2 linked regions of the Canis lupus familiaris genome follow. The protein of the gene in region 1 interacts with the protein of each later gene in a biochemical or structural test. Links are inferred from orthologs where the notes say so. Each region holds a gene or a part of one and is shown on either strand. Other genes may lie near its edges.

Evidence for each region.
Region 2: the proteins of PEX5 (region 1) and PEX13 form a complex in vitro, tested with the Homo sapiens proteins (3 studies listed by BioGRID). The link is inferred for Canis lupus familiaris from reciprocal best matches to the Homo sapiens genes PEX5 and PEX13.

What each region holds. Positions count from the first base shown.
Region 1 is NC_049248.1:8,232,646-8,236,691, reverse strand, and holds the start of PEX5 (peroxisomal biogenesis factor 5), read right to left. Parts: upstream 2,812-4,046; 5' UTR 2,744-2,811; intron 2,477-2,743; exon of another isoform or gene 2,454-2,476; intron 2,407-2,453; exon of another isoform or gene 2,263-2,406; intron 2,103-2,262; 5' UTR 2,087-2,102; coding exon 1,940-2,086; intron 1,606-1,939; coding exon 1,570-1,605; intron 1,287-1,569; coding exon 1,154-1,286; intron 933-1,153; coding exon 801-932; intron 1-800.
Region 2 is NC_049231.1:62,415,668-62,419,183, reverse strand, and holds part of PEX13 (peroxisome biogenesis factor 13), read right to left. Parts: coding exon 3,055-3,516; intron 2,543-3,054; coding exon 2,417-2,542; intron 121-2,416; coding exon 1-120. UniProt on the Homo sapiens protein: Component of the PEX13-PEX14 docking complex, a translocon channel that specifically mediates the import of peroxisomal cargo proteins bound to PEX5 receptor.

The sequences.
Region 1 (4,046 bases):
AGAACTAGGCTGGGACCCTGAAAAACTTAGGGTGCAGGCCTGGCAGAAGAGCACCATGGTTCAGCCCACAGGGTCTGGAATCATTCAAAGCCAGAGTCAAGTCCCAACTCCACCTCTTACAAAACTGTATCACCTTGGGCAAATCACTTCATCTCAAAGCCTCTTTTCTTATTTATATGCTAGGAATAAAAACAGTAACTACCTCAAGAGTTCTGATGAAGATCGAACAGATAATACATTGAAACCAATTAATACAAAGCCTAGAATATGATAAGTACATATTAGCTATTGTTATATTTATTACTGTCATCAGGATATGGTCTTTGCCCTCTAAAACCTTATATGTCAGGCCCTTGAACACAATTCCACTTTCCAAGGCCTCAACTCTGTTTAAGATGACTTAATGCCAGAATCCCACGGGCTGTGCTTAGTATTTCTTCCTGGGCAATACTGCCATCCATCCAATCTGTGGGTCTTCACCACCAAACTACAGTAATAAAGTTCCAGATAACAAAGGGTTCTCTCTCCTATTCTCTCTTTACATAGAGAGACACAAAGAGATACATATACTCTCCAAAATCTCTTACTGAGTTCCAATTCAGTCCCATTTCATGTAAGTTTCAATAACTCCCTATTATCACCTAAGGGAGATCAGGCTCAGTGCCCTAGAGAAATGAATCAAGAGTCCAGGAAAGTCATAGAAGCTGAAGTCAGTCTATATCCTAAGATGAACTGGGGGAACAGAACAGAACTCTGCCCCACTATGAACCACTTTTAGGTTTACCCATGACCATCCTTACCTGTTACTTCAGATATGAATTCTTGGGACCAGTCAGTCTCATTATAATCCTGAGTTACATCCACAGCATCTCCAGCAGCAAGAAACTCCTGGGCCCAGTTCTCAGACAAGGCCAAGTCAGCCACACCAGGAGCTTAAGAGAAAGAAAGAGAACTAAGAAAAAAGAAAAAAAAGAAATGCATATCATTCTATGCATCATGCCTCAGGAATCCTGAGTGCACATGAAAACACTGTGCCCCTTTTGTCTCCTTCTGCAGCTCAGTTCCTCAATGCCAGAAGCATCCAGATATGGAACCCCCTCAGTCTTACTTGCATGGAAAATGGTGATCCCCCCCCACCAGACTCTGGACCCACCTCTCTGGGGTGCCTGGCGGAAGTTTGACTGTTCAATCTCCTGCATCTCTGCCAGGAGGTCATCCATCTTGAAGGTCTGAGGGGCACGGGATACAAGTGGTGCATTCTGGTCCTGGAGAAATTCGGCCACCAACTGCCAGAAGAAAGATGATAAAAGAACTCAGCAAGAGACAGGGCCCGGTGAATGAGGGACTATAACGTCAAACACAAGGAAAGAGAAACCCAGAAACTACAAATTGGAAATACTCAAATAATACATAAAAAAAAAAAAAAAAAAAAAAAAAAACAAGCAGAAGAAATAAGGCAAATCTCACTTGGTCAAGAAGGCCCAAAGGGTGAAATATAGGTGAGCCAGGTTTAAAGTAAAAACACGATGGGCAAAAGAAAAAGGGCACTGAACAGACTGGCACGTTTACCTCATCTTCAGACGCTACTCCCAAAGGCTTAGAGACCTAAGACAGAAAAGAAAGGGAGGCAATAGGGTACAGTGATGAAGTCCACACACACAACCCCGCTCGGCAGAGGTTAAAATGCCTCTAGCGTCTAGAGTGACCTTGGGCAAGTCACAGAACTTCCCTGAGCCCCCGCTTCTTCACCTGTAAAATGACTGCCTTGATCTGTATAAAGATGCACAATGCTTAGCACCGTGTTGAGTGAACACTCACTAGTCGTGATAGCTACTCCTATTTGCGACCCAGCAGAGAAGGCAGTTATCCCAAACTGTCTGTCCATGGGGCCCCTCCATCCGGAGCCACGACCTGAGTTTTCCACCTCGGGAACACTCACCGCCTCAGAGGCCGGGGCTCCTGGGGGCCAAGGGCCAGGCCTCAACCCCTCCTGCCGGAGGGCCTTGTCCTGGGTGAAATGCCCGGCCAGCTTCATCAGCGGGTTGGCACCCCCGCATTCGGCCTCCACCAGCTCCCGCATTGCCATGGTGACCGCCAGCTCACTGATGGGCAGAGAAGGTTTGGAACTGAGGTCCCGCTGCCAGGTCCTCCTCCAACCCACAACTCAGCCCGTATCAGGCCGGGGGAGGCGGGCAGACGTCGGTCCCAGGTTGTGAGCCACTCGCCACCCTCCACCGCTGTGCCTTTTGCTACGGCCCCCACCTCAGCCAGGGATCCGAGACGGGGCCGGTGCCCTGCTGCCGCCCCCTCAAAGGCCTCGGCTTTCAGCCCGGGCCTCTCGGGCGGCCTCCACGACTGCGGTCTCCGGCGGCCGGGCCGGTCGGCAGCCGCCCCCCACACGGGGGCCTGGACCCCAGGGGGCTGAGGAGCAGGATCCCACAGTCGGGCCGTACCGGGGCACTGCGCGCGCGAAGAAGAGTGGTAAGGCCGCCAGCGCGCAAGCCCACGGCCCCCAGGCCCGCCGCCGGCGAGCTCCGCGGGGAGCCATTCCTTCCCCACCACAAGTCACCTGAGCCCCTCCCCCATTCGGCGGGTCGCGGCCCACCCCTCCTGCGCTCCGGACCACCCATTTCCCCCGCCCCAGACGCAGCTCCAGCTCCGCCCCCGGGCCCCGCGAGGACCAGGCCGGGCCGGAGGAAGACCCGGAACGCGTCCTCGCGCCCCCTCGGGACCCGGCGCTCACCGTCGCGCGCCGCGCCGCGCCGCACGACCCGCCGGGGCACCTGGTGCGGGCTGAGGGGGGAGGGGAGGGGAGGGAGGGGCGGGGAGCCAGGGGCGGGGCTCGGGCTTAAAGGGGCCGTGGCGGCCGCGCAGCCTACGCTGCCCTGCGGGAAGCTGTTTGTAGGGGCGGGGCCTCAAGGCTGCGGCGCCGCGTGACGGTTGGAGCCGTGAACCTTAAAGGGGAAGAGCGCCTTAAAGGCGAAGTCTTGGAGCGGCGACCCCGAGAGCGCTACAAAGGCTCGCCCGCACTGGGACTGGTTTGCTGGGAAGCTCAAAGAAGGATGGAGCTAGGAGGGGCTGCCTGAGCTTTGGGGGGAGATCCGCGGGACCGTGATCCTGGATTCAGCTGACTCTTACTCGGCGGCACATTGTGACCCAAGGGGATTCCCTGCCCTTTCTGGGCCTCAGTTTCCCCTCCTATAAAGGGGCTGGCGGCTAGTCTTCCTAAGCCCTGAAGCAGGTAAGAGGAAGGCCCTAACACAGGTGTTGCAGGGGTCAAATCCAAGGCCTTCCTCAGCCTCCTAGTGATGTCCACTTCCAAACTGCCCCAAGCGGGACATCGTCACAGTCTCCTTGGAGACAGAGGCCTGCCCCCAATCCCTCTGCCGCTTCTGCGTGGTGGGGAATATAGCGCTGGATGATGACAAATTCCGGAGACTAAAATAGGATACGACGACGCATCCTGAGTCCTCTCAAGCTGGTAACATACAGGGAAGGTGCACAGTGAATCACTAGTCTCCTCTCCTTCCTCTCTCCCCACTGGTCAGGGTCATTATGGTGGTCATATTCCCACTGCTCCAGACTGGGAAAGCACAGACATGGTGCAAGAAATGATTTTTAATCACAGAATAAGCCTCAGGCCCCACCATCTGCCACAGCCATTGGCTCTGATGTCAGACTTCAAGGGCGTAAACCCTGATACCTTACCTGACTCCCAGACCAAGGGAGACCTGGTGCCACCAAGAAGGGCAGAAGGTGCTCAGGGCTGCTGGTAATTGAGCAAGGATGGGTTAGTACCAAGACAGAAGCGCTCTCCCAGCCCAGGGTGCAGGAGGGAAGACAGACAGCAGGTGGCGCCCTGGGCCAGGCTTGTTTCCTATTGTCCGGCACATTTCTAAGGTGGAGGCCCCAGGGGATCAGAGGAGCTTGGTTCTGTAAACTCCTCCCAGGGAAAGTAAAGAAGCTGCTCTGACACCGCAGGAGAACAGAATGACAGGCCAGACCTGAAAATTGTGCAGAATTTCTCCTCTTCTTACCTTTTCACC
Region 2 (3,516 bases), on another chromosome or scaffold:
ATTCCACTGTTTTTCTACCTCTTCTTTTACCAAGAATTTTTACATAATTAGCAGGTATAAGTCCTGTTGTTTGACCATCAAGACTAGCCAGAAGCCAACCACGCACTTTGGGTTGCTGTTCTGATGGAAGAAAAGACAGCCTTGTAATTATAACACACACTTTGGAGTCCAACACAATATCGATAATAAAATATTATGTAAAATCTGTGTTATATTTACACACTAAAATATATAAACAAATGGTATATACATTTAAAATCAAATGATGAGTAGACTTAACAGTTCTAGGGTCGCTTCTTATAATTTATACTTTTTACTTTATACTTACTAAATATATTTTCAACTTTGAAGAACATGAAGTTTATATCAGTTGGACCAGTCATAGAGTAAGGAGATTCATTCTCCCAAAAGCTAAAACTAACATCAGTGTCTTTCATATTTTAAATTGAAATTTAAGAAATGAATTTCTCATTTCTTTTCAATAGAACTTAGAAGCAAGTATAGAAAATATATACCTTTATTCAGCCAGATTCTTTATATACTTTTGGCCAAAATATAAAATTCATTCTATGTGATTGTGATGAACCTTTTTTTTTTTTAAAGTAGGCTCCATGTTGGCATGACCTGAATTCACGAATCCTGAGATCAAGACCTGAGCTGATTATCAAGAGTCCAACACTTAAACAATTGAGCCAGCCAAGTGCCCCTGTGATGAACAAACAATTCCGAAGATAGTGAATGCTGTGGATTTTAATTCAAGATGAGGAAAAACAAAGACCTCAGTTATCTCTAGACATATGACAAAAAAGGTAAGGCAATACTTTAAGCTTGAAGTAGGAAAGATTTACTTAATATATTCAATTTTGTATTTTGGTATTTTAAAGATACAGAGTATCTGTAAAAAGCTGTCTCTCATTTTAGTTCAGCAGTATAAGTCAGGTACAATATAACATTGTGTTAATACTCTACTATAGAGAAAAAAAACGCAAAATGAACCATATTTGTGACTGTTTTCGTTCTAAATGCTCAGATGTACGTTACGTGAGCAATGGAGAAAAGAAGCAAAGCTAAAGTGTTAAGAGGCATCATTAGTGGAAGAATAATTTTAGATATAAAATTTTCCTGAAATATTATATGTAATTGAAAGAAACCAGACTTGATCTTTTTTATACTTTACATTAAAACTAATTATTCTTATGAGTCCTAATTCTAACAATAAATCTTAAAATGGAATTATTCTTTTAAAATTCAAAATAGTTAACTGCTATTTTCACTAGAAGAAAAATATAATATTTAGAAACCTAGGTTTTATGTATGAGGGATGAAGCAGAGATTTAGCAAATTTGACCCAAATTTTTCAATTATTTATATAATAAACAATTTGCACACTGAAGGTATTTTTCCCCATATAAAAAATGATTACACTAATTAAAGGTTCAAGTTTCCATTAAAAGATCACATAGGAAACAGCCCAGGCCCTTACAAGTATAGGTTCTGAAGTCAGATAAACCTAGGTTCATAGTCCTGCTCCATCACATCTTAGCTTTGTGATCTCGGACAATTTAGTCATTCTGAGTCTTAGATTTTTGTAAATAAAACAGAGACAGTACAATAATAGTACCCACTTCATATCATTTTTGTAAGGGTTAAAAGCAGGATCTAAACTATAGTGCCTTGTACTATAAAGGACAGCTGTTACTGTCATTAGTATCTTTACCAACAAAATGTTATTTTTCCTAGCAAACCTGAATCCCCACAAACACACAACCTCCCCATCGCCAATTCATTAAAAATTTTGATCATCATTACTGGGGAAAGCTAAGGAAAAAAGCTATTTTGCCTGGAGCCATTAAAAACTATTAGTGTCCTAGTCCAAAAATAAGCCTGAGATATGTATAAATTTCTTGCTGAGATTCTTTAAAAATTCATGACAGTAATTCCTAAAATGTTCATGTTGGTGTTTCTGAAGTAAACACCATTCAAATAAAAAAGAAAGCAATACCAGTCCAAGCAAAGACTGACAGGGATACTTACATGACACTGGATAATTTCTTTGGGTTGTTAGATTTATTACACATAGTGCTTACCTCATGGTTTTTTGTCTTTTGTTTTTTTTTCCTCCTCATGTTTTTGTGTAGGGGTTAACAGGGCTTGGAATTCAAGTTTTGAGTTTAGAAGAGATGATATAAACAAAATCTTTCCCTATCTCAGTGAAATATTACTGTAACAACTCTGTTGGGCATTTCTCCTCCACACCCTCAGGTTTGGAAGTTCTAAACTGACACGAAAAGAGAAATTCTAGCGACTACTTCTGAGTTAACTAACAATGAACAAGATCCTTTATTGCAGTTTTTAATACTACATTTACAAATTCAAAAAATTCATGGATAATTCCAATTTATTCATGTTTTGTTACCTTTGAGAGCTAAGTTTAGCATATCACCAGCACGGAAAGAAATTTCTTCTTCAGATACAGCAGCAAAATCATATTCTGCTCTAGCAACTACGTGGTCATCCTCACCACTTGCCCAGTTGGTATTGTCTACAAACCAAATTAAGAAATAAGAGTTATGACTATGATTTGTAAACTCCATAAATCTACTTCCCAAGAGAAAAGTACCCCCCAAAGTAAATTCTATAACACTGCATAAAATCCAACAATATGTTCACTACGATATCGATTGATTATGAACTTTCTTTTTCTTTAAGCTCAAAATTACAATTACCTGTATATTCTTATCCACTTCCCGGTCAGTAAGTTTTAGAAAGATAAGGGAATTATGTCCTATGTATCTTTGTATCCTCTACAGTATTAAGTTCAGTATATTGTAAACAGTAGTCAGGCAATGTGTGCCGTTTTGTTAACAAACAATAAATAAATCCATAAACTTATTTTTGCTACATACTCATTTTCCAGTTTTCAAGTTCTTAACTGAAAATATAGCTGGATCAAAATATTAAATACAAAGGACTATGAAGAATGCTAATTTAATAAATCTATTCTTGAAATTTGAGATTGTTATGTGGTTTTTGAATGCATTCTTTTACTCTTACCTGTTACTTCATCATTATGGGTAGACAGCAGTTTCCAGATGAGGTAAGGACCACCAAGGATAACAGCAAAGAACAAGAATATTGGCCAAGATTTTGCTGAGTTAGCTGCTCTGTCCTCAGCACCAAGGCAAGCCACAGTTCCTTCACTTTCTGCCCATAGGTCCTCATTCTCAGAGCCTCTTCTTAAACCTATCATCCACTGTAACCGTCTATAAAGATACCTTATAGTCCTGACTAATGCAAAAGCTGAAAAAACCTTTGTGAAATGGATTTTTAATCGGGAAAAGTGATTTGCTACATCCAATACAGCCCTGAAACTGTTATAGACAGCTGAAAAGGTAGCATCCATCATCATACTGACGGAGGCAAATGCATGCACAATACTTTCAATGGACTGAAATGCACCTCTGCTGCTTTCTTCAGCTTGCTGAACAAATCTACTGGGTGGCAGATCATCTACCC